2 linked regions of the Drosophila melanogaster genome follow. The protein of the gene in region 2 interacts with the protein of the main gene of each other region in a pairwise test. Each region holds a gene or a part of one and is shown on either strand. Other genes may lie near its edges.

Region 1 (17,018 bases), on a different chromosome or scaffold from region 2:
AACACCACCACCAACCAAAAGTAAATTCAAGGCGTTTAAAGTCCGTTGTAATGATTTGAACTATGTATGAATGTATGTATGTATGTATAATTGCTTAAGTCCTGCAATCAAAAGTCCAATAAAACTATTTTTACCATTTTATTCGCCAGTTGTTCGCAATTAGATATGTATTTGATTAGCATGACATTTATTAAAGTCTAGTTAGTATAATCAGTTATAAAACGATGGGTGGCACGTGGCTTTATAGGAGCAAATGCAAATTTTGCTCTCTTTTCATACTATGCATACATAGGTAGACATGTATGTATATAAAAGAGATCGAATTATGAAACAGTTATCTTTCATCTCTCTTTTGTTCCCTTTCCTTTTCCACTACATCAACTATCGACTGTTCGAGCTTTTAATCCCGTTACTTTGTTCTAAAGTTGCCTGAAATGTAACTTTATTTTGACTACACTCTGTGATTTCAGTTATTCCGGTCAATTTGGTGAGTGCAGTTTGATATTGGAGGCCTACATTCGGTTGGACTACGATTAGTGATAAAACGGCGAAATTAGTTAAAAACCATTGTTAGAGGTTTTCGTAGTGTGTTTTCGGTGTCGCTTACAGTTTTTGTAACTGTGGTTTCAATAAATGCTGTTAAATATCTGACGCAAATGTTCGGTGTAGCTTACGGTTACTTTTACATGTGATGTACATACATATGTACATATGTAAATAGCGGTCGTGTTATTTCATTGTATTAAATCAAGCAACAGAGGCAATTTATAAATAAATTAGAATCTCAGGTAAGCTATAGGCAACTTATTTTCAATAAATTGCTTATCATTTCAACATCCATAACCTTAATCATTGCAAACTATTACTAATAGGATTTCCTATAAACATAGACCTATGAGTATAACGTTAAATGTTATATGTTTAATTACTATGCCTTGCGCACGCGCTCAAATAATCAAAATGCCATAAAAATAAATGGTAATAAGAATCACTTATAAAAACAATCGGATAACGATGGAGGAGCTGGAGGATGTTGCGGACGAGGTCCACAAAAGAGACAGCTTCCTTTTCTTTGTCTGTGGCTTACATACTCTCTTGTTTACTCACTCGATATTTCCTTTTGCATACTTTTGCTCAGGTGTCGAGGACAAAAGCGCCGAAACCAAATTTAATAAAAAGCGAAAGCAAAACAAAGGAATATCATTAAAATGTCAGGAAGCGAGGCAAGAATCACCCACTTCCGCTCACCAGCAGGTAAATGCCGTAAAATACAGGTAGCCGAACAGCCAATGGCTGGTTTGCATATTCTAGATCCTGGCATCAAACGTACATCCGCAAGAAGTAGGGTTGGTGAAAGAGACAGTAGACACATTCACTTTTCATTCAAATGTGTCGCAAATTTCGCAAAAAATAGCTATTTTTAGAACTACGGAACTAAAAAGTTCGTTAAAAGAATTTTACGCTGTTGAGGTGTTTAAACGAACTGACGTCCAATGGAGGAACTCAAATAGTGTTATAAATGTTTTATTATTTAGTGCAAATAATGTTTCCTAATACTAGGATTCAATGTTTATGTTTTTAAAATGGAACCACGAAAGGATTTTAATTAATATACTATACCAAACGTAAAATCAAAGACAACCACGGACTTCGAAATGCAGTCATGTCTGCTTATACGGATCTACAATGACGCAGTGCAGGCATTGGTTCCAAAGGTATCACCGCAAGCGAGTACGTGACTTTGATTTGCTTTGCTAATTAGTGGGACTGGAAATCAAAGTGGCATATGCTTGACTTCAACCAGTGGCCCCAGAACTCTTGGAACCATATAAAATGTTGCATGTGGTCAATGGCGATTCACAGTTGAGCACTGGCGGCTGATATAGCAACAGTGCCATCTTCAGAAGACAAAAAGGATTTGCACCAGAGGACCAGGGATCAGGAGCAAAGAAGCAACAGCAACCATGGCAGTGGAAGTAGTTCAGGAGACGCTGCAACAAGCGGCGTCCAGTTCGTCGACGACGGTCCTGGGATTCAGTCCTATGTTAACCACCTTAGTGGGCACCCTGGTGGCCATGGCATTGTACGAGTATTGGCGCAGGAATAGCCGGGAATACCGCATGGTTGCCAATATACCATCCCCACCGGAGTTGCCTATTTTGGGACAGGCTCATGTGGCCGCCGGCTTGAGCAATGCCGAGATCCTGGCCGTTGGCTTGGGTTACCTCAACAAGTACGGAGAAACCATGAAGGCCTGGTTGGGCAACGTCCTGTTGGTGTTTCTAACCAATCCCAGTGACATCGAGTTGATCCTGAGTGGGCACCAGCACTTGACCAAGGCGGAGGAGTATCGCTACTTCAAGCCCTGGTTCGGTGATGGTCTACTGATCAGCAATGGACATCATTGGCGTCATCATCGTAAGATGATTGCCCCCACCTTCCACCAGAGCATCTTGAAGAGCTTCGTGCCTACATTTGTGGATCACTCAAAGGCGGTAGTTGCCAGGATGGGCTTAGAAGCGGGCAAATCCTTTGATGTTCATGACTATATGTCGCAGACCACGGTTGACATCCTGTTGTCTACCGCCATGGGTGTGAAGAAGCTTCCGGAGGGTAACAAGAGTTTCGAATACGCCCAAGCCGTCGTCGACATGTGTGATATCATACATAAGAGGCAGGTTAAATTACTGTACCGCCTGGATTCCATCTACAAGTTTACTAAGCTTCGCGAGAAGGGCGATCGCATGATGAACATCATCTTGGGTATGACCAGCAAGGTGGTCAAGGATCGTAAGGAGAACTTCCAAGAGGAGTCACGTGCGATTGTTGAGGAGATTTCTACACCTGTTGCCAGCACTCCCGCTTCCAAGAAGGAGGGTCTTCGCGATGATCTGGATGATATCGATGAAAATGATGTGGGCGCCAAGAGGCGATTGGCTCTTCTAGATGCCATGGTGGAAATGGCTAAGAACCCCGATATCGAGTGGAACGAGAAGGACATCATGGATGAGGTGAATACAATTATGTTTGAGGGCCACGATACCACCTCGGCGGGATCTAGTTTCGCCCTCTGCATGATGGGAATCCACAAGGACATCCAGGCTAAAGTCTTCGCCGAACAGAAGGCCATCTTCGGGGATAATATGCTGAGGGATTGCACCTTTGCCGATACCATGGAGATGAAATATTTGGAGCGCGTAATTTTAGAGACTTTGAGGTTGTACCCACCAGTACCACTTATCGCCAGGCGTCTGGACTACGACCTGAAGTTGGCCAGTGGTCCGTACACGGTTCCCAAGGGCACTACGGTCATCGTGCTGCAGTACTGCGTGCACAGACGTCCAGACATCTACCCCAATCCCACCAAATTCGATCCGGACAACTTCCTACCCGAGAGGATGGCCAACAGGCATTACTACTCCTTCATTCCCTTTAGCGCTGGACCCAGAAGCTGTGTGGGCCGCAAGTACGCCATGCTGAAGCTAAAGGTCCTGCTATCCACCATCGTGAGGAACTATATTGTCCACTCCACCGACACGGAGGCAGATTTCAAGCTGCAGGCTGACATCATCCTAAAGCTTGAGAATGGATTCAATGTCTCGTTGGAGAAGCGTCAGTACGCCACGGTGGCCTAGAATCCAGAAATCTAGGACCCCGACTACACACACGCAACCCCGAACCCGAAACCGGAATCCAGCCCTGTATATAGATGATGAATACCGATGAATATCCCAAACCGAAAACTTGATGACGAACTTATAAATCTAAAACACCGAATAAGAACCCAACGCACAAGCCAGCCAGAGAGTCAATTAATTTTTCTTTCGTTTTTTAACTCGTTACTTTTATATTTGATTAATACCTTTTTGTTTGTTGGTCTTTAGCGAGTGGTGCCCCTATATAATGTATACGTATATACTATATATCCTTTTAACCAACTATTCAACGCAACTGTTTGTGCTCTTCACCTTTTTAGTACTCCTACTTTTACCACTATCTATACTTTTTTTTCGTAGCCATGTAGTGTGATTTTTTTTCTTTATTCTAGTATTTATTAAGTCAAATGGTTTAAACGAAACCCAAAAAATATGAAAAATACACGTATGCGAGGCACGTAGCCGATAGAGCTGCAAAACAATTGTAATTGCACATCTTGTAATGTTCTCCTTCTGGGCGGTCGTAGTTTCTACGAACTTGGCTAACATGCCAAACTATAAGAAATTTGAATGCAGATAGACAAACCAAGTGAACAAGTCGACTTGGCTTATGATTCTGCGGTTTTCCAATCAACAAGTTAATGCGCTAATGCGAGGCAATCGACGGTTTGCAAACTGCTGGCAATGTCATAATATTGATTCAGGCCGCTGTCCTTGGCAAGGTATTTTCTGTTTTACTTTATTTCGCTCGCATTTTGGGTACCTGTTCATATTTGTTAGCATTATACTGATCTTAAGTCGACACCTCATTCGATGGGCGATTTGTAATGCGATTAATCGGATGCAGATTGCGATGCTGACAAATGCGAATGCTATTGTGTCGGAATCGGTAGCAGTTTATCGCGGGTTTCGCGGTCAATGAAAAGGAGGTGTATCGGAAATTCGTTAGCCTTCTCTTCTTGTGATTAGCTGAATTCCGCCGTTAGAAGCCGGCTTTCCCTTTTTTAGGCAATCGATTGCCGAATATCAATTTACAAAACGTAACGAGCCGAAACGGAAATCCTTTCGGTTTCTTCCGTATTTCCTGCCTTGCTGCATTTGAATTATGAACCCTTCTTTAGCATCTTCGGCAGACATAAAAAGGGGCATGAAGCAGGTCCCGAAAACCAAAATTCTGTTTGGTCATTGTCCTTTTTGCGCTAGGCAAATAGCGGCACTACCTGCGGATCTGCAACCCAATCCAATGTCTTTGGGCATCCGGAAGTTTGTGCACATTCGTTCTATTTTTTATGGCGGAATTCCTCAAACACGCTAACTGGATATCAGATTGTGGTCTATGTCCTTCATGCGTGACACTCCAGGATATACTTTGATGACCGCCGGTTTTAAACTCGCACGTGTACCTAAAGTTTTGATATTTTACCATTTGAGACTGACACAGTTTGATTTTGCCTTGCCATTCCTTGGCATTTCTCGTTGATAGTTTAAAAAACGGTAAAAATGATTTTTTATAGTCTCTTTAGAAATTCCGTAATGGGTGGTCATTGCAATCAAACGAAGTTGAGTACTGAAAGCCATTTTCTAAAGGGATATGTTTGGGATGGAATGTGTGGCCTTGTATTGCTTCCCCAACACAACTTCATTTATAGTCAAGAGAAGGTAAGGCCAAACAAAGAACTATTAAACGAGGAGCTGCATACCAGGACATCTCAATCAATGCAAAACTGACAAAATACCGCTCCCTGGAGTGAGCGGGAGTAAAAATTGTGTCTGTCATACAATTGAGCCTGGTGACTCAATGCCGATACTGTACTTCATACTTAGAATAATCCCAGTGGCCACCCTGGGTGCGTAAGTCAAAACATGGGAATATAGTCCTAGGACGACAGGGTATGAGGCCGACGTGGATTCAGTGACATTAGAAATATGTCCTGGAAAACATGTGCAACCAGACCTAGGGAGCAGTCTCGCTTATTGCTTCTAAAACTGGACGACGAAAGTCACATGTGTTATCCTTAAGCATCTTGCTTGGGGCTCAATTAACGAAAATTGATGGTGGTTAAAAATTTCGAAATATGTGTATAGATGTGGAAATAAAATGGAATGGAATTGGCTCAGATCTGTTTAGCAATTCGCAGATCATCAATGGTTGAAGTAGAAAGTAGGGAAAATTATGGGAGAGGGCTTAGGCGAACCGCAGGAGGTACTAGAAAGTGTTAACCCGCTTTGGGTTTTAACGGTTGTCCAGAGTTATTTTTTTGACTTGGTTTCTTGACCCGCTTAGGGTTTTTGAGCGCGGAGCGCACACTTAAGTGCTTCATTGTGGGTTGAAGTACGTCCACTTAAGGACTTAGAAAAACTGAAAGCCGTCGAGTATAAGTATCTGCTTAAGTCTAAGTAGCTCGGCTTGACCGGCAGTTAGTTTCGGAAGACACAGTATTACGAATACTATTTGCCAGAGAAGTCTCTCTTTGGTCCAATGCTGAATGAAACGGAAGGATGAAATCCTTGAATGAAAATATAACCTTGCCAACTGGTTACTGGGGATCAGCGGATCAGACCTCAAAACCATTACCGTTTTCTTTGAATATACAATAAGCGAAGGTAATGATTGCTAGATGACATGGTTTTCCAAAAATTATTAAAGATTTAAAATTCGAAGAAATTATTTTTTTTTTCGTGTCACCTATCTCAATTACGAGATCCATCGAGCCAACTCGGATTCGGCGGGTCAAAGGCAGCATCTGGTTCCCGGGATAACTGCAGTGCAATGTGCCCAGAAATTGGATAGTCAGTGGATCAGAGAAGTAGGGGTGAATCCAATCAAGTCAGCGGCAAGAGCATGCGCACACGCTAAAGTGAACTTAAAAACAGACGGCATTCAGTAATAATGCATTCATAGAGGCGTGGTCTAAATGGCATAATGGGGGCACAACTTAAAGCGACTGCAGCACCCAGAGCTACGAAAGCAAATCTGCCGATCGAAGGATACGATAGGGCTCATATTCCTTATCGGTGCTAAGCCTTTAACATTCACCAAAAACACAAACAACAAAAAGACGCACATAACGGCAATGATTTCCCAGTTCAAACAGTAAAAATGCGAAATTCGACCCAAACTCGGAGGTGTACGGTTGAGGGGCGTGTCGCATTACCAATATTTAATAATTATAACGGTGCGTGAACAATTTTCACTGCTAACGGTGAACGGCGCACCCACCACACGACCAAAAAAAGAATGATAGGAAAACACCTTTGCACCTGGATGGAAAAACTGAAAACTGTTGAAAAAGGGGGTTGCAGGCGATCTCAGGCGCTCAGGAGCGCGCCAACACATACATATACACAGCGAAAAAAAAAAAATAGTAATGGAGGAAAAAATGCCTCGCCTTGTAATTTCGACCTCAAAATAGATCGTGTTGTTTCCTCAGTGTACTACTTAGATTTCTTTGGTTTTCGGATCCTGCAGATGCGAATATCATTTGGCACAGGCCATCTATTCTTAATGGAAAACGATTTCAATTGATTTTCCTTACAGTATGCCTGTCTTATGTAGTTTTGCATCATCCATATCCATTGGACCGGCCCTTTCTTATTTTTTTTTTTTTTTGGTTTTTCTTCCGTTTTGTTTTATTTGGGCAGATGTCCCAAAAAAAGGGACGGGTAGAGAGACATGAGAACACGTAAGCACAGGACAATGAAGTCCTGAGCACAATTGGCAGGAGAGTATAGCGCCAAGTAAAAGTGAGGGTGAGTAAATATCGTGCAAAATAAAAGACGTGCGTGAAGGCTTGGCAACTTTGTATAAAAAAATATATTACCATTCCCTTAAATATCATTGAAAATATTTTCCAAATGTTAATGAGGGTCTGTGTGGTGAGCATGACAAGGTTTTAAAACAACTTCAAGTTTGTAGCCGCTATTGGAATTTCAAGCTGTTTTGGCTTTTCACTTCTTGACTTCTATGAGGACAGACAGACTAGACTCTATTTTTAAAAGCAATTCGTTTGATTTGCGGTTGCCGGTTAGGTCCTAAATAATAGTTCACCCTAAAACCGCTTTCTCTCAATTTCCCTAATATTTATTTTGGTGCGTTTTTAATTACTTGTGTCATTATGAATCAAGGCACATGTTTAAAAAAGAACCGCTAGAAAAAAATCCGAATTCTGTCATTCTGTCACAGAAGGAACCCCATTTTGAATATCGAGTCAATAAAGCACCGGAGATATACTGTGCCATAAGACACTCTCTAAAATATAAAACACCTTTTTTTCTAAAATGTGGTACAAATTATAAATTGTCATTTAATATACCTAATTTTCGTTGAGAAATAAAACCACAAGAAACAAATTAAGTTTTTGGAAATGTTCATATTTATTTGCATTTATTCAAAAGCATATATTATCTGCTTGTCATTTTAACGTTCCTACAATTAAATCTATAAAAAAAAAATATGGTTACACAAATACATTAATTTTTGTTATATACTAGACACTCTGTTAGTCCGGCTCAACATTAAGCCGTTTATCAGGATAACTATTTTGTGGTTGGGTCTTACAAGGTTATTTCCATTTGGTTTATATCACTAGATGACTTTAAATATGTAGTGTTCATACATTCATTTTGTCACACTCTTTCAGAGGATATTATAATATGTCTGAAGGTAGCAGTGAGGCATTTCCGACCCCACATCAATAAATATTCATGATCGGCATGTCTGGTGATATAAAAGGTGACTCGGGCAGGATCGATCAACAATATCATACGTACAAGTACCATAGCAAGAATCAAAAATGTACATATATTTTATAGAATTTGGAGAATATACAAATCTTGATGAAATCGTAAATTTGTGATAAACTTCATCGAAATTGTGCGAACTTTCATATTAAATACATGGTTTTAACAGCAAAGGTATATAAGCTTCGGCTGGCCGAAGTTATCCTCCTTTCTCGGCTTAAATTGATATTTACACAATGACTCAGTCATGGCTTGATTAAAAAAAACTTTAGATAGAATGGCCTGCCACAGACTTATGCTGTGAGGATTTAAAATCATTTAAAAAGTATGCCAAAAAATGCAATCGGCTTTTCCGAGATGCGTGATGTGAAAAAATTCGGCTAAACGGACAGATTGGTGCATGCACCATTAGATTTAGGTGCATGTGCCTCCCACCAGTCAATGGCATCGATCATGCTCTCGTCCGAAAGGCAGCCAGCGGTTGTATTGTTGGGCTGATCTTGCTGCAAAATATCGCTGAATTCCTTCTTGAATCCGGGAAGGACTACGTTGTCGTAGAAGCTCACGGGCTCCTGGTCGTAGAACGCGGGTAAAATAGGCGACGATCCCAGGTTCTGAACTTGCTGCTGCTGCTGCGGGGAAGTCTGTGCGTTGCTGCTGCTGCTAATGTTGGTACTGACGTATTCCTGTTTGATTACTTGCTGTTGCAGCGGTGTGGCACACGTCTGTGTCTGTAACAGCAATTCAGTCGAGGCGACAGGTGAAACTGGAGAAGAGCAGGGACTTCTTACCACCTTTTGTGGCACGGGCGATCGCGATAACTGGCCCGAAGCAGCTGTTTCTTCAAGTTTTTGCTCGTGACTCAAATCGCCCAATAAGTCAGTCGTCAGCAGTTGGTAGGTGTTGGTTCCTGGTATTCTGATGTATTGCAACCCATTTAATGTAGTCAAACTAGGCAGGAGATCACTGGCTTGCGGAGGGTTTAGCATATCCTCGGATAAAGTTTGTTGGACAGTCTGTTGCTCATCCATTTCGTAGTTGCTCAGCGAGTCGTCGAAATGTTCATCCAGACAATCGAATTCGTCCTTAATAAACATAAAGCTATCATCGCCGGAACCAGAACTATTCCCCTGACTGTTGAGAGGTGGAAAATCAAATCCCAGCAGTTTTTCCAAACTTCTTATGTACTCTACGGCCATGCGGAGGGTCTCCACTTTGGATAGCTTCTTGCTTGCTCCTCTACCCGCCCCCTGGGCCTCAAAAGCCTCAGATACTTCTTCTGGGATCTTCTCCCGGAGTAAAGCAAATCCATTGTTAACCTGCTTCACGCGATTTCTTTCCCTAGCGTTTCTACGGGCAACGGCTTGTGGCAAAGGCAAACCCTTTCTTCCAGGAGTCCCAAAACTCTGATCGCTTTGGCTTTTATGAGGGTGGCTTATAGTTCCTGCTTTTGGGGGCCTTTCAACCGCCAACTTCTTGTTGGTCTTGCATTTTTTAGCAGGCACTGATGTTTTACTAAGCTGTTGATTCTGCTGGTTGTGCCGGTTCTGCTTTTGGGATTCTCCCAGGGGCCTCTTCCGTTGACTGGATATGGGTGTGGTGTTAGTTGTGCTGGCTGCGGCACTTTGAACAGCGCCCAGCATGCCAAAGTCCCGGATCTTTCGAATAATGGTGTTCTGATTGGCTATATGCTGTTGCAAGGCGTTGGCGCCACTCTCACTTAAAACATTGTGAACGGTAATCTTTCCAAAAGGTTTCAACGTGGTTTTTATTCCTGGATTGGGGTTTTCCTTGGGGTTTTCTTTTGGAGGAGGTGATGGGCTGAAGCTTAAGGCGGCCATAATTAAGTTTTTTGATTCGTGGCTTTTTGAGGGCGGGAGAAAAACTGGTGGCGATTGCGGGTGTACTTTTAGCAAGTTAGTCCTTCTTGAGTGAATGTTAACTGGTGACTGATGTAATATGGTTTCCGTGTCCTTGCATCAGGACAGCTGCTGGCGCTCTGTGTCGCGTGCCCCTAAACTCCGAACTCAAACTAAAACGCAAACCCAACGGAAGTGACTTCGTTGACTGACATACACAACACAGAGCACACACATACAAAACAGAAGGCATTTGAGGTCCTGCGTATCCCTTATGTAAAGGGCCTGACTTTTCATCCCCTAGACTGGGTGTCCCTTCTCGATCGCTCACACATACACCTTTATCATATATATATATTATATACAGTACGGCTTTTGGGAAAACTAACATCTGATCAACTCGAGCCAAAAAGTCCACCTGGTTCAAGGGTGGATTTCGCCACGCTCTCTCTCATTATTTATCGGCAGCAAACACATTATGCTTATATACCGCCCCTATTAATATATGGACATTATAATAACCATATACGTATGCATATAATAAAAAGTATATTCCCTGGGGAGCTTTTTCAGCCCTGGTTTTCAAGGAATGCCCTACCACCTAGGAATTTGCAAAATATCCTAATAGATCACCTTAGACCTCCAATATTCGTCATGTAAAACGCAGAAATGCATCGAATCTTTATTTTTAGCTTATAGCTAAAACCAAGGACTGGTTTCTACTTCATTCGAAAAATGTCTCGGGATCACCTATTGTTAACTTTTCAAAAACTCGTACTGGATAATATATACATATATTTACCAGGACTTGCATTGGCAAAAACATTTTCCTATTGTTAAGCTAATAAACAGCAAGTATATACTGCGAAAGTAATGTCTTAGGTAATTCACAGGGCTACAATTTATGTTGGAAATTGACAAGATGCCAGAGAGCCAATTTAAATCCTTTAAGGGGTGAGAAATCACCCATCCTTCTCTACATTCTTGTTTTTTCTACGTCTGGCAAAAAATTTCTGGCAATTAGTCCGGTGGGAAAATAATTTTACCAGTGCTTTATTTCTATAATCTATTCTTTTTTTTGGAGCTTAGGTCTATCTGTGCAAACAAGTTTTCGAGTGCTACAATAAACTTTTTTGATCCTTCCTCTCAGGTAGTTTCCAACAAACCTGAGTAAATAGAGGAGTATACATATGTGTGTGTGTTGTACTTGCTGCACAATTTATAAACTTGAGTTCACTTAAAAGGTTCAAGGAAAAGGACTTGAGCGCAGGATAACCGGCGGGGAGAAGAAACTTGCGACGACCGACTACCGGTTTTTGATCCAGGATGCCACGTCCTCATTCCTCATTATGCAGACGAGCTCTCAAAGAAAAAGGAGTCAACGCTTGTGCGTACTGAGGAGTATTTGAGTACTGGGAAGTACTGCTCGGCGTCCTTTGTTGTCCTAGAGGATTTGACTCGGTTGCGTCCCACTTTGACGACGCATCGCAGCACTCATCTCAAGGAACTGTTCCTTGCCCCAGCCACGCCTTTCGTGCACTGCAAGAAAATAGTTCATAATTAAATTAACCATACATAAAAGTAGCGATTCCAAAAATATTACATGTAAACGGTTTCAAAAAAGTTTTGCCCCAAGACGCGGCATACCTTTTCGAATTTACTCCCACGTTCGTAAAATTAAGAACCTGCGTTGTAGTCCTGTCACTCTTTTTTTTATATATTTTTTTGGCTGTTATCTTTGGCGGATCGAAATGTTCCAATCTAGGCAAATACAATTTATGAATGGTTTCTGGTTTCTGGTTTATTTGCATTTTAAAAACGCATTGATTTCAATGGGAAAATATCTTTCGACGAGAGAAACGCCAAATGGTAATGAAACAGATGAGTAAACGGAATTGACGCTAGCGTGGAAACATACTGGATCCTCCATGATTTACTGAAACCTGAAGTCGTTCTATTTGGCTTGACCCTCCAAAATCGTAAATCAATCTGCCAACGCATGCAAGTCGCTTTGATTTTCCAAAATTTAAGTTCCCTCTTCTTTTTCCATTTTGTAACCGGAGAAAGGCGCCGGGTGAATATGTCCTGGGCCCATATTCTGTGTGTACTCGTCGTTGACTCAAGTGGATCCTTTAGGATGCTTCATCATTTAGCATCTGTGCACAGTTGTTCGTTCATAAATTGTTTTACCGCTTCTTGTTTTTTCATATTATTATTTCGTCTTTCGAGTTATGAGTGTTGAAAACTTGATGGAACGGAAGTCTTTCCGTGGAAGTCCTTGAAATAACTTTGGAGTCAAGCACTGGGGGAAAAGTGAAAGGACCCCAGCCGAGAACTACACAAAAGGACTCGCTCTACGGGTGAACACCATTTTTGGGACATTGTTTAAGGAAATGTTTGTGACGATGCCTTCTAATTATTACATATTCCCCCCATCGGATCGTGAACGAGTTACAAGTGACCGGTGTACAGATATGTAACTCTTTCTAACTATAAACTAAATAAAATTAGCCAAAAAATTAAGGAAAAGAGTTACTCCCGAATCATTTCTGCTATTTATTTAGCGGCAAACTGTGTCCCGTCCTTGCAGCAAAAATGAGCGGGTGCGGGCTGTTTTAATACCTCTTTTAAACAATACATGGGGAAATAGCGAGTTTCTATTTAAAAACTGCATTCGACTTTAAAGTGAAACTCACAATTCACGCTGATCGGAGTGGTAAATTGTTTTCAGATCGCGCACGTGCCTTGTGCTCTACATAAATGTGAGTGAGTGTCTGTGTGTCTTCTACCTGAGATCCTACACAGAAAAAAACCATCTTGAAATAAATGTGGTGAATCATGCAAGAAATAAATACGCATTCCGTCGTCGTGTTCTTGTAATGGATCTTTTTTTGTAGCCGGATTGGCACGTCTTTTCTTCTTTTATAGTGATATCTAATATTACAAGCATTATTCAAATTTTTTAAACACTTATATTTTTGTAATATATTTATTATATTAACTAAGGACACCATCTTATATTAATCCATTTTTAAACAGTCGAAGAGTGCGTACGTGTTGTATAGTTTTCTCTGTGTGTCGGGGACACTTCGACCAAACGCATGGTCTTTGGATTTTAGGGTATCGGGGACCTTTGGCGCGCTTTCGGGGGTATCCGAGCAATAATAAATTATCCTCACCCTCACCTGGCTTCTCATTTTTCCTTTCTCATCTCCTTTCTCGCTTACTCTCTTCCCCTACTGCTCCCCTCTCTTTTGAGCTAGGTGCTGTTTCTATCTTATCCGGTATCGATCCTGATCAAATCTGGACATATTTCGCTCGAGGCTTAAGGGTACATAAGGGAGGACTATAATTTAGGCAATACACAGTGGAAAAGCTAAGAGTATATGTACATATGTGCGGTGTATGTTCATTTAAGCATACGTTAAAAATGAGAAAATATTTTATAGCTAAGGCAGGCCTTTTAACATTACATTTTCGTACATACCTCGAAATTTCTATTGCACGTTAAATGATTTCTTGGTCTAATTTGAGTTTATCCCAAAAACAAGTTTTGTGGATCTCCCTCGCATTTGCTCTGGCTCCCTGTCGTTAGCCCCTTCCCGCTCTAATGCCCTTTGTTATGTTCATATACATAGAGCTCCGTATATTCCGTATGTATCGTGTCCCGTGCTGGGGTCGCTGATCGCCAGCGATCCTGCATCGTCATTCTGCCGCGAAAAACATCTGCTCCTGCTGCACAGCAATCGTTCAACAGCTCTGCCCTTCGTCTCTTCTGCTCTGCGATTGAACTCAGATCTCTTTCTACGCTTGCTGTCTCGCTCCCTTTAGAGCAACCCCTGTGCCAGCAAACAATGCCAACAGGAAGGTCCTGGGCATTAAGTTCCGGCAGGATTAGGGGTGTTTGCGTTAGGGATCGCTGGTAACTTTCGACCAACAGCAAAAGCTGCCTGAAAATCGGCAATTCAGCCTGTGGGTGGAACTCGTGAATCAATCCATATGGGCTTGAATTTGTGTAGTTCTCTCGATCCGTACACCTCTTACATAGTTTTAAAAACTATGTAGTCCTAAACTATTTTTCACTTCATATATATGTGATGACAACGTGACCCCAGGACGACGTAAAAGCATCCTTGCACTTTCATATGGGTTGTTGTGCAGCCCGATGATTTATGTTCGAGGGTGAATCCTCGAGAATCGGGAGCAACAGGATTGCAACTGGTTACGAAATTTTCTACAAACACGGCAACAATGAGCACATTTATTTTTGTGAACAATCGGGAGTGAAATAAAAATTATATTTGAGTAGCCGATTAAATTAAATGCCGGGAGGGTGGAAGTCATTGTTCAGAAACCTGTTGGCGTTGGTGAAAGAGGGCGGTGGCGGGGCAGTGGGATGCGCATGCGCAACGGTTTTTTATAAAGGATTCAAAGCCGGCGGCAATGCAAATTTGTCAAAATTCACTCTTCACACACTTCCCTAAAACGATGATCGGATATACATGCACTTAACGTAATTCTGACTAAAAATATCATGCGAGAGTATACATTATTAGCCACACTAACTAGAAAAAATACAATTTGTACAATTTTTATTAAACAGCTCACGAGTTATCTACGCCCTACGAACGACATTCTTTAATTTGTGAAAAAAAATAACCTTGCCCACTCGGGCTTTACAGACATATTTCTGAGCGCGTGTCTTCAGTTCCTTCGATCCCCTCGACCCCTTTACCTTATTGAAATTCACGATCCTGTACCATTTTAACAACCCCTTCAACTTGCAAGCCCGCTGACCGCACGCGCTGCCAGTTTTTAAGGCTTAAAGCCGTGCCAGTCGCAGGTGTCTGCTGAACTGGTTGCGTCCCGCCTTTGTACCATCTAGTTGGATAGGCGGTGACTCTGGGTCGGACCCCACCCCGGATTGGTATATGGTAAAAGTTCTAGGAGGTTTTTACTTCTACTCTACTACTACTTTGGTTGCTTAAATATGAAAACAATTTTTTGAATACTTGAACCATTGTAATAAGGAAGCTGTATTGGATGCTGTCGTAGCCGAAGAAAAAACCTGAAAGGATTAAAATGAGTCTAAGAGATTTATATTATGAAGTTCTGTAAAATGTTTATTTTCTAAGGGCAATTTATTGATCAAATTCTTAAAGATCTTTTCTGCTTTGTGATATGAAAAGCCTACAGCACTTAAAAAATACTGCTTAAGATTTGTTGAGTCGGATAATAGTAGACCAGGGAATTTAGCCATATCTTTCCTTTGCAGAACCGCTTTAACCTACTTTTGCAATTCATGAAGTTGAATTGCAGTTTTCGCAACAAAGAAGGACGATTTTTTTCTGTTTCTATTATGTGTAACCCCTTTTCGACTACTATGCTATACTAATGATTAGGTTTCTTGTGATGTCTCGTTGATTCCTTTTTTCGTGATTTGTTTTCAGCGTTGATTGCCTACTTATAAACTCATTCAATTGCTATCAGGCAAATTGGCAAATAGAAAAATTTACGCACCGTTGAGTTCTTTTGCCTTAATTCCGCATTTTTTCAAACTATTGATTTTGGTCGGTAAGTTGCGGTTAGGCAGAGCCGAAAGGATCTGGCTCCGACGAGGATTTAAATGCACTCGAGTGATCCTTTAAGTGGGACTTGTCTGCTGCTGCTCGAAATGCGTCAAAAGTAAATTTCAGCTCAAGATTACACAGCGATTGAAGTCCGCCGAAGCTAGTAATTTAAATTCTGTCGACATCAACCATTGGGTACGTTGGTACGGCACTTTTGGCATGCGGCACACAAGGACTCTACGGATGTTCAACGACTGCACTGCAGCCTGTGGCCCAAAAAACTCCCCGCTGATAAGACACTTGTGACCGACATTCGTTTCTAGGGGAAAAATATGAGTCTTTTGATAAGATTACCGAAAACATAGTTCTTGCCAGCTGCTGCTTATAATAATATAATATAATGTTTATAAATAAGCCTTCCAGGCCAACAATTTTTAAAATTTCTTAGTTACAAGAGCTTATAAAAAGATGTCAAATTAAAAAATGTACGCAAACCTATATATTAAAGAATATATCTAGGCAGAACAAGTTGACAAATTGTTTCTTCGCAAATAGAATATCTAGTTGCTTTCCAAGAAGTGTAAATGCATTTGATGTTTTTTGTGTATTTCGCAGTCCTTTATTTCCAAAAGATTAATCAGAAAACTCCTTTTCTTTGGCAATTTCATGGAATTTAATTTCGGTACTAGAGCTCTTGTCTTTTTATGAATCCACTGGTCCTGAAATCAAATCACTCCCCTGTTCTTTGGACATTCGAATCGAAGAATCAATGTTTACCCAAAACATGAAAAGGAACAGGACAAACGCCCCAAGCAAACAATGGCATGCTTGGCCATTCAAAAAACTTCTTTCTGGCATTGTTGCGTGATTTTTTTGCACTTGTTTGTATTTCTGATCAATTAAAATTGTTCCCCCCGCATTGTTCGTCCTTGCTTATTTCCAATAGTTCGTGATATTTGCTTTTCCCTTTCTCGGTTTGTGTTGACTTTGCCTGGCTGAATCCTGGGTTCTGCCGGTTGAATGTGCCCACATGCTGGGTGTTTTTACAAGGCATAGAATCAAATCCAAGGACTGCAGTGCACTGTAAGAAATTTAATAACATAACAGGATGAGGACATTTGGATGAGCCCATTTGAAGAAGGTAGGGAAGACGGTTCTGTCTGAAATAATGTTTATTTTCCTCACGAAAAGGG
Region 2 (16,829 bases):
TCAGTGCCACTAATGGATCGCACAGATTGCACCCCCTGCCAAGAATAGTTGACTAGCTGTTTATGTGAAAAATCGAATGAAATGAGACTCAAGATCCAAGCTATAAAGTGGGAGTCTTTTGGGGGGATCCTATCCACTATCTGGGAGCCTCCTGTCAAGGGGCCATTGACAGCTTACACTTGGCGGAGGCCTGGAATGATGATGCATCTCTGCCTGCTGGTGGTGGTAATATGATATATGCACTCGAAATCTTTACAAAAAATAAAAGCCACAGACTCAGCTTCACATCCAGTTTGAGTTTGAGATAATGGGCAACGTGCCAAGTGCCCGACCGTGTATACACAACAAACAGTGCATAAAAGCAGGCGGAGGAGCCATTCACAAGGCGGTGGTTAGGGAGGAGCTGGGGGAACCACGAGGGGGTCTGAGGCTGCAGTAGGAGGTGTGCCGGGTCTTTTATGTGATCTCCAAGCGGAGTATGTGTCGGCATCCCAGCAGCCACAGAGCAGAGTCCACTGGCTTTGGCGGATGGCAAACTGGTTTGTGGCTTTTTGGATCTTTACATACACCACTAGAGATGCCAATGCCAGCATGCGTGCACTGTGAAAAATATTCAAATGAAATATGAAAAATATTCAAAAATGTTCAGTTATTTAAAGTGCAAGTCTGATTTGCACTGAACAAAAAGTTATCGCAGACCAACAATAGAAATTATAGTATAACAAACTTACTAATGGTTACAATGGTTACGGATTGCAGCGAATGATCTGAAGTGACAACCCATAACTCTTTTTATCGAGTGTAGAGACATGGACACACATACTTAACACGCGGCTATGACGAACAAATGTGTAAAGCATTAAAAAAGAGATCTGAAAAATACGAAAAAAATGAGAAAAGCTAAATAAAAAAAAAACACAAAAGCGTCGACCGCATCCTAAACAGCGGCAACCAGCGAATGAGGGCCAACGGGACGGACACGGAGACCCGGAGCGGCGGACTGAGCTCGGGCCCAAGCCCCAACCAATCTTTTCAAGTTGATCCCCATCAAGATATTATTTGACAGCAATGAAACGACTGGCACGAGTTTGTTTCCCACGGTCTGGCGTTGCCTTGGTGTGCGTTGTATCTGTGAGCTGTGGTGTATCTGTGGGTTTGCGGGGGGCTTTCAAGTGGGGCTTAAGCGGGGGGCTTTTTGAGAGGGGGCAGCCCCACCGACGACTGCTGACTTGGCTGGCTGCTTTTCGCGGCGCAATAAAGTTGAAAGCGCACTGTTGGATATAAATTAATTCAACAACACGCTATGGCCATACACACTGCTTGGTGTTGTTGCTCTGGGTCTCTGGTCTCCATCTCCGAGTTTTGCACGCTCTCGTGCCCCGCCCCTTACCGCTCCACCCCCTCGGGCGATCGCTCAACTCCGCGGGGGCACTGAAATTCGCGCGTGCGTATGCCATCGACAAAAAAAAAATGAAGCACAAAATTTAAAAAAAAGCAAGCAAGAGAAATAATAAACCGAGAGAAATGAGGTCTTCGCGATATATGTTTTTTTGTATGTGTAGCTGTATCTTTGGATGATTGGGTGTATAAAGGCCAGTTGGTCTTAAGCGACTTGACCATATGCGCTACACCCCAACGAGCATTGCAGAATCTGATGAAATTTGTGAAATAACTACCTTATTATTCCATATTATATTTTCGGAATGGGCAGCAGATTAGGTTTCTGCATTTCAAGCTATAGGGGCACACTCGATGAATTCTATTGGGGGCACGTGCTCGTCCACTGGGTTTCCTCTAATTGCTACAATTGGTATTAATGATTCGAGTTACGACAGTGATTCAGTTGTTAAGCTAGAAAAGTCTTTCAGTGGCGTTTAAAGGCATTTATAGCTACTACATGAAAATTGGAACTTCCGAATTACAATTGGAGCCCCTATACTATTTAGCTTTTAATTTAAGCTAGTTGAATGAATGGATTATATAAATGGATTATATTGTTATTACAAAATATTTCTTAATTTAACGTGTTATCTACAATTGTAGCTAAATTGTTTTTAAAAATCTTTAAATTTTTGAAATATTTTTTCCATATTTTTTATAGTATTGTTTCTTTAATAATCCAATATGAATTACTTCTTAATTGGTTGTTGCAAATATCATGCGACTAACTCACCCCAAAAATGCAACCACCACCCTCTGACGAACAGTTTGACACACTGCCGACCCATAAAATCCAATTAAGCATTTCCGGAGCATTCAGCTTTTTGACATCAACAGTTTAAGTGTCCCGGTCCAGCGGACAAAACGTTTCGGTTAGATAAGTTGTTAGCCGTTTGTGTCTTGGCCCGTTTATCACCGTTGCTGCTTTGTTTCGGCTAACTGTAGCTCATTTCGAATGCGTCGAGGGGCAATCTTAATTTGTCTTATTTGAGTTTGAATTTATATACACATAGTGATCGAGTAGCTGCCGTCTCGGAGCTTTTGTTATTCCTTATTTGTGTGCCAATGAGCCGGGCTCGTGTCATTTTCAATGAACGCCAGCGAGCGTCATCGTCGCCGGCACTTCTAATTAAATGTTGAGAAACCCGAGCTTAGGATCCGAGATGTGTCAGATGCCGGCGGATGGAGATCTAGCATCTCAAGCTGATGAATCACGACGATATAGCGTTAAAAATAAATACCGAATGTGCTAAATGTGTATACATACATATACATATATCGCGTATAGCCCACGAGCCATAACATTTATAGCGTGTGCTGGCAACAGCCATTACGATTGTAACCGACTTTCGCGCACACGTCGACTTCGATCGGTTCCCAGCCCGAAGTCGCTATGGTAATTGTCTACAAATAGAAGCGAGCGACGACCCAAGATCCCCAAGCGAACCCAAAACCCCCAACCGAACTGCAGCTGATCCCCAAACGATCCCCAACCGACAATCAAGAATAATCATGTAAACGAAAAGCGTAATGCTCGTCCCACGAAACCCACGACTACCACGATCCAATCAATGATCCATAAAGCGCTAACAAAAAAGCAAGAAACAGAAACACTGGCCCGTCTCGGGTTGGCCCGATGACGATTCCACAATTATCAGCGTGCCATAAGCTACTGCAAAAGGGTGAAGGCACATGGCAAGACTTGAGACCGAACCGAACCGAACCCAACCGCACCGAATTGAAGCCCAAAAGACCGGACCCCGACCATAGTCGACCATACAAATGAATTGAAATGCAAACATCTTGTTATGGATGGAAGGCATGTGCTCGCCTCGCATCGTATCTGGGATCCCAAGTCGCACAGACCTCTTAAAGGCGGCCCGTCCATCCGTCCGTCCGCTCAAGAAAGACGGTGGACGGAAAGACGAGGGACGAGGGATCGTACAAGACCCCAAGCATGCACAATCAGAAGAAGTCAGGCCAGCCGTCGTCATCGTCGTCGTCGTGGAAATCGGCTGCGAAACAGTTTCCCACGGTATAACAATCACAGCACATACATAAGGAGGGAGGGAGAGAGAGCGAGAAGGCGCAGCCCGCTCAAGTCATTTTATTGCCCTCACATATACAGGCAAAAGTATACAAAAAAACAGAAGCCACCACCACCACTACCACAACCAAGCACCACCAAGCCATCTGAAACCACCGCTGGCAACAGCAGCAGGCCGCGCACGAGGCAAAATGAGTGTCCCGCTCGCACTCACTGTCCAGTTCCCAGGGCGGCAGAGGCTATATAAAGCCGATCCCAGAGCCAGCCGACTCATTCAAAGCTCCGACTTCGTTGCGTGCACACAGAGTCTCCGAGTCCGAATCTAGTGGAACGTTGCGACTGTGGATTACGCGAGTTTACTTTACCCCCAATAAAAAAAAAACAAAACCAAACTACAACAAAATGGTTCTGGAAATGGAGATGTCCAAGACCTATCAGTACCGCAAGGTGATGAAGCCCATGCTGGAGCGTAAGCGCCGTGCCAGGATTAACAAGTGCCTGGACGAGCTCAAGGACATCATGGTGGAGTGCCTGACCCAGGAGGGCGAGCACATCACCCGGCTGGAGAAGGCCGACATCCTGGAGCTGACCGTGGAGCACATGAAGAAGCTGCGTGCCCAGAAGCAGCTGCGTCTGTCCAGCGTCACCGGTGGAGTGTCTCCGAGTGCCGATCCCAAGCTTAGCATCGCTGAGAGTTTCCGTGCTGGCTACGTTCATGCTGCCAATGAAGTGTCCAAAACCTTGGCCGCTGTACCCGGAGTGAGTGTGGATCTCGGCACCCAGCTGATGAGTCACCTTGGCCATCGTCTCAACTACCTGCAAGTGGTGGTTCCCTCGCTGCCCATTGGAGTGCCTCTTCAAGCTCCAGTAGAGGATCAAGCTATGGTCACTCCACCTCCCTCGGAATGCGACAGCTTGGAGAGCGGAGCCTGCAGCCCGGCGCCCAGCGAGGCCAGCTCCACCTCTGGCCCCATGTGGCGTCCCTGGTGATCAACTGGACTCCGGATGATATTCACCTGAATCGCCTTCAAGCGGAAGGCTTCTACAAATTTGTTGCCCCAAAGAGGTGCTGGACTTGAAACCGCACCGAACTCCTTGGAGATCATCAATTGCTGCCCAGGAATAGCTTTCCCAGCAGCCCAGCAGAGCCACCGATCATCTCTAGCAGAGCCTCAAATTTCGGCTATAGAGATGGCTGCTGCTCACTTCTTAAAGTCATAAAGAAATGAAAATAAATGAAATTCCAACTCAAGAATCTCTGCATTTACTTATTTCCCATAGAGCTGATTACTCAGACTTCCCAGACATTTAGTGGGCGTCCAACCGCAAACTAAAGCAACTAAAAAAAAGAAACCCCTTAAAACAAGAAACGAATTGGAGATAAACTCCGTGGTGAACCGAATCGCAGAGCCCACAGCCGGAAGTCGCTGAATATTTTCCCACACTCGGACTATCGTCTGGTCTCTCCGGCTTGGCCTCATTATGCCCCGAGAATTCGGATTGCGAGGGTATGCGGGGCTTTCAGGGGGCATACAACATACATACGTATATCTGCGGGAAGTTTTGCGCCGGCGCTGTCGCAATTAAATAATAAAATAAAGCAAAAAGTCAGTTCTAGGAAACGGCATTTATTATGAGGCCCGCCGAGTGTGAGAACCGCGGCTCCGCTGTCAATGGCTCAGCATTGTGGTCATTGTGTTTCGCTTTTTTTTTAAGATTTTGCTCTTTTTTAGTTTTTTTTTGTTCAGGCTTTGACAGCTTTAACTGCGCTTGACCGCTTGGCACATGCGCGGACGGACCGGCGGTCAGACATTGCAAATTAAGCCCGCGACCGCGACCGTCTCGGCACTTAAGTCTTAAAACTCCAATACTGTATGGGTATGGATAGGGGCTGGGATTGGGGTAGGGGTATGGGGTATGTGTATCGGAGTGCGGTTCGATTACGGAACCTCGGATTCAGCGCCTTTGTCTGGCGGACAACTATGATGATGACTACTTACCAGGTCGTCTCGAGTCTGGGACCGTTCAAGCCGTCGCTGATTGCTGTTAATCTTCAGAAAATGTTATTAGTCACGTAACATTGGCATCGAGACGGCCAAGTTAGCGCTTCTCCGCTTATTTTGTGCTTTTTTTTGTTGTGGACTACAAAACGGCTATTTATAGGGCTCAACGGTAGTCTGCTGAAAATGGGTGATCTATTTTGCGATGGACCAGTTGAAAGGCGATCAGTTCACTCCAAGATTGACTAAGTGCCGCAATGTTGGCCATTGCCGGGGGCTAATTGGATGGCTTCGTTGGCGAAACTGATCTAGAGGGGTTCCCATTCAGCTTGTCGGCTTTGGTTTTCATTTATTGCCGAAACGTGCGTCATTCATAAGAGGTTATTAAATGTGATGTTTGCTGACTTCAGAGTGGGTATCATTTCCATATCTATCTAATACCTGATTAACTCAGGAACAAAAGCCAATGATGACTCAAAATTGGTTTGCTCATAACTAGAATATTTCGTAAATTCTACACTGTAGCTTGCAAATAGCTATTATTAAACAGCATATAACGATTGCAATAATTTTTGAAGATTTCACCAAAGGTTGCAATTATTGAATGATCCCATTCCATGTTTTCGACCTCACCCAACCCACTTCGTATCTTGTGACAGGAGGTACAGTAGAGCCCACACGTCATCCATCACGTGACCTCTGTGTGTCGGTGGACCCCCAATCGCAGGCACCGCGGGTCCGGCCACCTACTTCAGTCATAATACTCCGCACGCCGCTAAGGTTTAATGCAGCCATATTAAAGTAAGCGCAAGACCACCACTTAATAAAAGAGAGGCGGCGGCAAACCGGCCTGGCAATGGGCTGTGCATGGAGGCTGGAGGATGGGACTGGGATGGAGTCGGCACTCGTGCCTCGATCTTCATCCACTCCCATTCCCATTCCCATTCCCATACCCATATCCAAACCCATTCCCCATACGATCCCATACAAACACAACCTGTGGGCAGCTTGTCCAGTGGCAGCAAGAGCGTGTGCCAATGTAGTGTAACAACATCCCATATTAAAGATATTACAGAGTCAATAGCACACCATATAAGTGTGGTTGGGTGCCTCTCCAGCGCTCCAATGCTCCGACGACCAACTCCTCAACTCCCCAACTCCCATACTCCCCAACGAGCATCTCCCACTCCGATCACCATAACCGATCTCCTCGTGCATCCCGCTCGCTCTCGCTTTTTGGTCATAAACCAACTAAATTGAGTTCGTTCAACAAAACAGCGACGCATGCGCCGAACCCCGAACCCATAGTTGTAGCCCCTGAAACACCTCGTACCCCTTTTCCTTCACAGATCACACGGCGCGCTCTTAACGATCGTGTGTCCACAGTCATTACAATGTTGGCCAATGCACAAAAGTCGAAGCTGAAGCTGAAGCTGAGCTGAGTCTGCGACTGAGACACACTTACCGCACGCTGCTTTTCTCTTTCATGTCGATCCATAGCCATATAGCCGCAGCTCGAGTCGGTCGTGATCTTGCCCGTAAGTGGTCTTGTATCTTGAATTCGTAAAAGTACACACACACACACGCATTGAGTGGTGGCCCAGCCAGACACACACACACACATACAAAAAAGGGCAGGTGTGTCGATCGTGTGAGAACCACGTTCCAAACCATTTTCTCACGATCTTCGCTTCTGATATTTAGTTTTTTTTTTCTGGCCACGGTCCCCGGTCTTCAGTCTTCAGTCCCTTCCCCTACCTAAAAAATAAGACCCTTTCTTTGGGCCTCGGTCTTCGAGTGATTCGTATGCAGTTTGTGTATTGTAGTTTTTAATGACTTGGGCTTGCGTTCGAGCTCGATCGCCGGATTGCCGGATTGCTGTATCGGGGGTTCGGTTACGTCGCCGCCATTCGTTCATCATTCATCGGGTTTACCTATAAGATTAAGTATCTTTTGTGCCAGCATTTCCTTTTGGCATTTTGGGTGCGATTCCTCCGCATGTCCCTATAACCGACTTTTTCTTATTGCCCATTGTATGGTATGACAACTGGGCTTGCTTGGTTTGGTTTGGATTGGTGTTGGTCCTCTTATTGTCGAGTCCATAGTTGTGTCGCCTTGATCGGATCATCCAGGAATGGCCTAGGATCGAAAGTGAGCTATAATTTAACATGGCTCTTAAGGAGTGTCCATTATTACACTTTATGTTATCCCAGGGTGGAAGTGACATCCAAACATTGAAGGAAATGATCTTGTTCAGTACATTATAGGGTTTAAGATTACACAGAATTTGCAAGTGAAATACAAATATTTTTAGCGTATTATCTACAAAGGATATCTCAGAAGGATTTAAACAATTTAAAAAATTATAAACGTTTTTTTTTAGTTATTTATAAGCTAGTAACCATAAGCTATAAATCTTATTAATTTCCATAAATAATTGCTGGCACACAAGAAAACAAAAAGGACGGAAATGTAAAATTAAGTATAAACACTTAGGGCTGTTGTGAAGAAGATCTTCTTAAAGATAATCTACTTTCGGCTTTAGCAAGTTAACAGAATTTTAATCAGCTGAAAAATCTCTATAAATTTAGTTCCTTTTTAAATTTATTACACCCCGCCAGCACAGACTAGTCCCAAGCCAATCCTGATACCGATCTCGTTGACTATTCCCTCGATCTGCCCTGCGTCGATTTTTAAGACAGAGGCGTCTGTGAATCGGCTACTGGTCTTGGCACACAGATAACCAAATGATGCTGGGTCAGCCAGATCAGAAAAAAAAAACGAAAATCAAAAAAGGCTCGGGCAGAGCCCATAAAAAAGAAACAACAAAAAAACCGATATCCTGTCCCCGGCTGGAGCTCCTCCATCTTAAAGTTGCCCTAGGGCAAGGCAGTCATTTACCTGATCCGAAGCAATTATGTGCCCATAGCTTACCTTGACCATTGTGCACACGATTTTCTATCCGAGTGGCCAGGGAGAATCACGGCAACAAAAAATTGAGGAGAACAAAGCGAAATCAGGACGGATGCGGGATGAATGATGACTCGATCCCTTTTTTGGTTTTCGGTTTTTTTTTCGGGTTCCTTGCCGGCTCTATGCCCATTTGTTTTCTTCTAAGTCTGAGCGACATTGTCGTAACTCGATTAGATACGCTCAAAGATAAGACTCTAATATTTTCTGTTACCTTCGCTTATTGTCCGCACACGTGTTGGAGTTGCAACCACCAACTGGCCTATAGGCTATGTCCCGGTATCGGTAGCCCCGGCTTTGGACTTTGGACTTCTTTCTTCTCTCGTTCTTCTGCCTAATTCTTCTTGTTTCGGCCTTGGCATTGTTTTCGCTTTCTTTTGTCCGACGATCGTGTATGTGCATCCGTGGGGCGATCGAATAGTTACAGGGGACAGAGAGAGGTGCTATTGCGTTTCTAGCGTTTCCGTTCTAGACCGCAGACAATTGGAAACTGTCTGGACATGGGAGTGTCTGAGCAATTTGCATGTGAGTCACTAGATAGTGGCAGAAAAAGTCGTGATCTTTCAATTTTAGCTATATAATTTATTATTTATTTAGTTATCACATGAACTGCGCGTCCTCATCTAAAGCTTTGTGTGTTTATGGTGTTTACTTATAACTAGGTGGGAGTCGACTGGTGGAAATCCAGTGACTCGGAAGACTTTTACTTTCTATGATCTCTCCTTCGTTTTTTTTTTTTTCAGTTGTGGTGTGAAGTAATCCTATCTACCAGGGACGCCAGACGTTCTCCTCGTCCTCGCTGTCGTCCTCCATCTTGGTCACATCGATGGTGGTCAACAGGGAATGGCTGGTCGAACTGGTATTGGAGTTGGGACTGCCGGCGTAGCTGGAGATTGGCGAAATGGGCACGGAGTAGGCATCCCGATTGGCGATGTGCACGGAGAGTGGAGCGGTCACCGGCAAGACTTCCTTTTCTGCTGGCTGGATCTGATTGAGGCGCTGTCCCAGGTGGGTCATTAGCTGAGTGCCTAGGCTGACATTCATGCCGGGCAGCTGGGAGAGTGAACGGGAGACCTCATTGACGGCATGGATGTAGCCGGAACGGAAGCCCTCCGCCGGAGTCAAGCTCTCATCGCCGGAAGCCCGCTTGTGCTGACGCTGCTGCTTCATCTTTTGCAAATGGGTGACGGTAAGTTCCAGGATATCGGCTTTCTCCAAACGGGTGACGTGCTCGCCCTCGGACTCCAAGGTGGCAACCATAAGATCCTTTAGCTCGTCCAGGCACTTGTTGATTCTGGCACGACGCTTCCTCTCCAGCATGGGCTTCATCACCTTGCGGTACTGATAGGTCTTGGACATCTCGGACATTTGTAGCGACGACATTTTGTGTGTTTCTTATTGTTCTTTTTGTAGTTTCGATGTAAGCTGAGTTCTTTGAGCTCTTGCTGCTCCGACAGTCGAAGTCGTTGTGTGTTGCTAGACCTTCGGTGATCGGCCTTATATAGCTGGCCAGAAACAACCCCCAAAAAATGGGCCAAAGGGATCGTCGTCGTCGTCGTGTGTGCTGGCATTCGAGGAGCAAAAGGGACGGGGACACGCTTCGTGTGCTGGCATGAGGGTTGCTCGGTACCGACCCTTCCGCTTCTTGAGACCGCTCCTTATTGTTCGGGCGATTTCTTATTGTTGGCCCCGGCACCCTTATCAAACGGGCCAGGGAGCAGGATCGCTGCCAGGATCGTGGGAAACACTTTCCTACTCGGTTTCTCACATCGACTCGCTCACCTGCCCGCAAAAAGCAGCCGAGCATGGCCACGGCCATGGGCATGGGAATTTGCAGAGCGAACAGCTGCCGTTTCTAGATTTGTGTGTTATGATTTGACTATGGCATGGCAGGGTGAGGGGCATAAGGATAATGAACTGCTTGCATTATGCCATCTCATCGGGGTCCTCCGGGGTTCCCACGATAGCGGGGACCTCCGCCGGGGGATGGGGATAAGGATAAGGACGAGGCGTTGCGATTCCTCGACAACTTCCTGTTTACCGTTGGCATTCCAAATTGGATCGGGTTCGTGTTTGGTGGCAGAGGAAGGGACAAGGACAGAGGCATCCTGCACTTGTTGGTCGGCTGTTATGATCCTGTGGGAACATTGCTCGTGTGCGTCGAGTGCGCTTAATGCGTGTACGACTTCCCGATCCCCCCGACCCGGCAGGACCTCTGCCTCTCCCTCCATCCGCCATGTAAAAGGGGCCAGCGATGCTGATCCTGGAGCGCTGCTCGCGTGTGGCTCGCTGTGGACACACTTTCGGCTGTAAGTTGCTCGCGTTCCAGGACCTTTGTAATGGATGGATGGTTGGATGGGTGGTGCATTACAGGGATTTGTAAACGGAGTGGGGAGAGTTCAATTGACTTGAATTCAAGTGGACAGTATAACGGTATTTGGTATTTAGAATTATAAATTATTAAAATTCCAAGGAAAATATATATTTTCTATATATTTCAAATTAGATTTTAGAAATATATTTAAATATATCTGATATATCTTTTATATCGAAGAAAGCTAAATAAGAGCTTATAAATTATAATTATAATATAATAATTATATATATTATAACATTTTGTACCTATGTACCTATGGATTATAGCAACCTTGTTTATGTTCATATTCCAAATAATATAAAGCTTTTAAAATTTCAGTTTACGTTCATTTTATTATTCAAATGTTCATGGCTTATACTTAATGGTGTAAAGCGAAAAATATAATTTTAAAACATACACAAAAATTTGTTCTTAATGAGGCTAAGTGGAAGCTCGGTGGGGAAGCTCTTGCAAAGTTGATGAAATAAATTACAATGAATTAAATACATGAATCAGTAAGCCTATGGGAGATCAAATACAAAATACGAACTTAAGAACTATCACAGGAACATCACATCATATCAAATCAACTACCAACTAAATACGATTCTGAGGCAAATGTTTACACTAGACCTTGGAAAACTTGGATTGTTTCTTAATGAAACTGAGTAGTAAAGCTATCAATGTTAATTGGTTGCGTATATATGGAATGCCCTTCACCAGGGGCGCCAGACTTCTTCGCCATGATGAATATCCTCTTCTCGCGGAGACTTTGAACGTTTTTGGTCGGCTAGATTAACTGGTTCTTCGGCCATATCGATGATTTCTTCTTCCTGTTTCATGTCCTTGAGCTGGTGACCCAATTGCTTCATCAGGTGGGTGCCGAATTTGAGATCCAAGCCGGGAACCGTAGAGAATATGTGCGAGACCTCGTAGGCAGCCTGGGTGTATCCGGCCCGAAATTTGTCCAGGTTAACTTGGTCGGGTGGTGGGGATTGAGGATTGGCCACTCGCTGCTGCTGTTGCGCTTTCAGATAGTTGACGGTGAGCTCTAAGATGTCAGCTTTCTCCAGCTTGCTGACCTGTTCGCCCTGCGCATCCATGGTGTCCACGATGAGATCCTTGAGTTCGTCCAGATACAGGTTCATCCGGGCGCGTCTTTTGCGCTCCAGGAGGGGTTTGGTCACCTTGCGGTAATGCTGAGTCTTGGTCATAAATCTCTGACCCTGAACGGCCATTGTGTATAATGGGTTTTGATTTGGTGTGGTGATTGTTTGTAAATAAAGTTGCGATGTTGCGATGTCGCTGCTGCCGCTCCGCACTGCACGGTAGTCACTTGAGAAATGATCTTGCCGCAAGGTAAGCTGATCCTTTTTGTAGCTGCTGGTGCCGTACACTTGCGAAATCGAAATCCTCCCCTAACTGCCACCACGCACTGCGATCACAACGCTCCTACACGCCGACGATCACAACGAAGCATCAATCGGGTCACTCTCTGCTTGTGGCAAGATTCCCTCGGCGTTGCACGTGTGCAACATCAAAAAAATTGGATCGGGCGGAAGCCGCTGAGGCTCTCTTCTTGCACTGAAAACAATCCATATGTGGCAGAGAACAATTTTTAAAATCTATACTTTATATAAACTACTTTTAAAATATACAAGTTTCGAAGCATACTCTTTGGATGTCCATTCTGGAAACCAAAGTTTCTCATGCATCTAAAGTATCTTACAACGATAAGTATAAACAAAGAAAAAATAGTTTTATTGTACTTTAGAAACTTTTATATATTTAGAAATTAATTTATTTTTAATCAAAGCTTCTTTAACCTTGGTCATAATAGTAGAATGCCTTAAAGTTATTTTCAGTGTATTGACTAGGGTCCAATAACACGTTCTTCGGATCTTCGCCCGAGCTAGTAGCGCGCTCTCTTCGGGCGTCTCTCTTCCTCGTGCTGTTGCCGTGCGCCGGCGCAACAGTCTGAAGAAGGGTCTCCGAGGAAGAGCAGGAGGAAAGAGTCGGAGCAATCAACCACCACCACCAGCAGCGCACCACACGCACACACGACATCAGCAGCGACATGACCTCGACCTGCCTGGCAGCCATCCGTGCTCCCTGGTTCCCACTTCCCTCGAGAAAAGAGAGCCGAGCCCCATGCGTGCCGTCCTCACTTAAGCCAAAGAGCCAATCTTGTCGAGGCAATGCCATTGTTGCATATGGGTGTGGGTTTCTGCTTGTATGCGTGCAGGTGCACTGGAAAAAATGTTGTTTTGTAAACTGAAATATAATATTCAGAAATATGCAAAATGTGCATAAATAATATATTAAATTCTGTAACTAAACTATAATTTGCATTACTTTGCTTTAAAAGCAATGCAATCCCGAAGTCTTTATAAGCCATCTTTATAAGTTGCTAGTTTAGAGTTCGAATTTTCTTGCAGTGTGGCCTCTTCCCTTTTGGCGCACAGTCACACAGACCTCATTTCCTCTTTGGCGCGACATTGCGTTACACTTACGGGCACGGAGCACCATCATCAGCAGCAGAAGCAGCAGCAGCAACCACCGCAACAACCACCACCACCAACGGGACGGCAGCATAGCACCACCCAGGCAAGCGGCAAACAGCCGGTGCTGCGATGGGTCGGTCGGTGCATGTGCATCGTGAGAAAGTGTACTGGAGACATTCCCACAAGTATTGGGATTGTGCCGCACTTCTGCTGCCGGTTGCCCGGTTCCTCGGCCTCGGTCAGCTGTGACACTTGTTTGGCGCATTTTGCGAGATTGGGTATTCGGGGATAGGGCCATTGACGAAATCCACCTGCCCGAGGGTGAGTTCCAGTTCAAATCCAAGACCAGGGGTCGCTGCAATCGCAGCCATGAAATCGAGAAGTTAACAAACAGTGCAGCAAGGCACCGGCGACATTTGCTGACATCTGATGGCACTGATTTCGTACATTTCGTTTCCAGTTTTCTTCGTGGGGGAGGTTTCTGAGATCATCAGAGTGGCAATGTTTTGATATGGGTATTGGGACGACTTAAGGAAGACAGCCATATGCAAAAACAGGGATTTCAATTGCGCCAATTTCCATGAGGGAAAGATTTTAAGAGAGAGATTTCAATCTGTTGACAATGATGAATCATCCTACTTTTGAAAGTAGAAGAGGAGGATCAAGGATCATAAAACAAAAATTAAGAATCGTTCCGAATTTTAATCTTTCCCAATAAAAGAATCGTTCCGATACTCAATAAACATTTTAATTGAAAGTATATTCATTTGTTCGATATTGTTGTACATTGATAAATTTGGGACATTAACATTTCATAAATATCTTCAAGTGGCTGTAATTTACAAAGATACATATTCGTTTAATACACATATAGCAACACACACATATACATTTAGATTAATAATAATGTATAGAATCCAGTTCCATTTTTGCGCATCTAGTTTAAAAAAATGTTCTTGTTTAATGCGGATAACGCCAAATACAGTTTAAAATCCATGTGCTAGAAAGTAAGTGTAACGGACTAATTTGCTTCGTTTATTGTTTAATAAGAGGTACAAATGTGTAACGTTCGTAAGTTTTTATTTTGGTTCGATTCATTTCGCTTATCATTTCTATTTCGATTAAAATCTTTGTTGTGCTTAAAACTAAATTATATTTAAAGCGGACTGGGTCGTTTTAAGCTTATTATCGATTAGTTTTTGGTGTTTCGGAAATTTCTTGGAAAATGTGCTGATGAAATAAATTAGTAAGGACTAATGAGAGAGGTGAACTTGGTTTAAAAGTAAAATTATATAGAATAAAAAAAAAAAATAAATGCCATCAGATACATTTGCTGCGGGGAGATTCATCTATAATACAAAGTAATGCAAACGACATGTGCAACATGCCGTCTTCTTAAAGCTTTAAGTTATTCTTGTTCTTGTATTCGTTTCGTTTGATTTTGCCTTTAATCGCTTTCATGGTTAACTCCGTTTCGCCTGGTCGCGGTCATCCTTTGAGGAACTGGTGGACTTGGTGTGCCTAGTTGCAGTTGTGGGTTGCAAGCATTAAAATGTACAATCGGTAATCGTTTAAAAATATTTCCATTCGATATCTTCTTCTACGGTGCTTATAGTATCCTCGATCCACTCCCTTCTACACATACAAATATATACATTCTGTTTACATACATCAATACACGCGTTCATTTCCTTCTTTCGCATTCAGTGGTCATCGCTTCTGGACATTCTATACATACATACATACATATATATATAAATATTCTATGATTTTGTACGACATTCTGTGGGGGTTTTCACGTTCTCTAAAAGCACTTTTTAAGCAGATTTAGGAAACGCATTACTTTTGCGATAAGTGTGGTACGTCTAGTGCGCGGGTTTGTAGTTGTTATTCATGCAGCTGAAAGTAAGACAAAACTTGCATAAACATATCGAGGGAAGAACAAATTGGGGCGAAAGGATATTTGGGGCAAAGAAGCAGTGAAGATTATTCAATTTACTTAGACTTACTTCAATTATCTATTGGCTCGTATAAAATATAGTTGTCAATGAAAATATATAAAATCTTGATGTATTTTCTGTGCCTAGTAATTGTTTTTAGCTAAATTAGCAGCTACCGATAACTAAAGGTTCTCAGCTATTTTAACTTGCATTAGTTTTATATACTCTTGGCATGCATTTATCAGAAATATATTTTGGGTCTTTGTTTTAATTTAGCTATCGTGAATTATTTTTTTTTTGACTGTGTGTTTTAATTTTTGAACAACAAATATTTATGACAACACTACTCTACGCTACAAAAGGTGCTTTCAATTCACCTACATTATGTCGAAAATATGTTGTAAATGCTTCAAGGTACCAGATTTATCATCAATATAATTCTCAAATCTTCAACATCAATTTGCTAATGCGTGTAGGATAAGGTGCATTATCTAGTGTAAATTCATTGGATTTTTTTTTTTTTTGAGATTAACAATTTGCATATTGGATATTGTGTTCGATATTACAAAAGTGAAATCGTTTGGAGTGTTGGGACAATAATTCCATTTGGCAAAGCTTATATAACTACGAAATACATATGTTTCCCAATCATGGTGTTATTTTGTTGCATTGTTTTCAGCTATTCTTATGTTGTCTTAAGTTGCAGTTTGAATATTTTCGTATTTTACTTGTGGAACGTTCAATGTGATGGACTGTCGTTAATTCGATGTTTGGCGCGTGATTTGCTGTGTGAGGCGCGTCGCAGGCTGCTGACGCTGCCTGGGCAATTGTCATAAAAATCTAATGATTCCGATGAGAATGCTATATATCGCAATTGGTGTGATATAAAGAAAAGGTTAAGTTTGAGTAAATACTGTTTGTAAAAATCTGTGTTCATTCAATGGGTCTTGCTATTGAAAAATAAACGCTATAGATTAAAGCAATGAATGCATTACGGTATAGCTTGGGCAAAAGCTAAAGATAAATCTACAGGATACTAACCTTTATCCGTGGGTGATCCCAGGGTCAGGCTACTCAGACTGGAGCTCAGGTTGTATGGACGCGGAGATGGTGGCACCGGCGCGGATTCGTCGCCTGGCAAACAGGTCTCAACCATGGCCTCCAAACAGTTGACAAACAGCTCCGAGGACTCACCCATCATATTGTACTAAAAATCAATCAAAAATAAATCATATATTCTTCGGAATACGCATTTAAAGCACCCACCTTGGTGAAGGGACCAGCAAATCGCCAGAGTCCGCCAAATCCACAACTCTGCAGGAAGTGCAGCTGCTGCTGGGAAGGATCTTCGCTGGCCAGCATATTTTGTATAATGTTCTGCACAGAGTTGAGCACCACTTGGTCGTGTGACACTGACAAAATGTTGTTTATCTTTTGGTCCAGCAGTGAATGGCTACGGTATCAAACATATTAAAATAAAATTTGTCGAAAAACGTTAGAATTGTATAGACTCACATAACTGGAAACACCTTTGGAAAGACCACCGATCCTTCGGCCAAATACTGATACAAA

What was found.
Region 1: the proteins of E(spl)mgamma-HLH (region 2) and ase interact in a two-hybrid assay, tested with the Drosophila melanogaster proteins (one study listed by BioGRID).

What each region holds. Positions count from the first base shown.
Region 1 is NC_004354.4:454,175-471,192, reverse strand, and holds ase (asense), read right to left. Parts: upstream 10,447-17,018; 5' UTR 10,238-10,446; coding exon 8,777-10,237; 3' UTR 8,017-8,776; downstream 1-8,016. Other genes in the region: Cyp4g1 (cytochrome P450 4g1), read left to right, coding at 1,965-3,635. UniProt on the Drosophila melanogaster protein: Involved in the determination of the neuronal precursors of optic lobes in the central nervous system.
Region 2 is NT_033777.3:25,992,954-26,009,782, reverse strand, and holds E(spl)mgamma-HLH (enhancer of split mgamma, helix-loop-helix), read right to left. Parts: upstream 9,933-16,829; 5' UTR 9,841-9,932; coding exon 9,223-9,840; 3' UTR 9,022-9,222; downstream 1-9,021. Other genes in the region: E(spl)mbeta-HLH (enhancer of split mbeta, helix-loop-helix), read left to right, coding at 3,890-4,477; E(spl)mdelta-HLH (enhancer of split mdelta, helix-loop-helix), read right to left, coding at 11,530-12,051; CG43116 (uncharacterized protein), read left to right, coding at 12,891-13,030, 13,252-13,609; Nf1 (neurofibromin 1), read right to left, coding at 15,997-16,118, 16,299-16,464, 16,524-16,710, 16,773-16,829. UniProt on the Drosophila melanogaster protein: Transcriptional repressor of genes that require a bHLH protein for their transcription. May serve as a transcriptional regulator of the Achaete-scute complex (AS-C) genes. Contributes to the neural-epidermal lineage decision during early neurogenesis.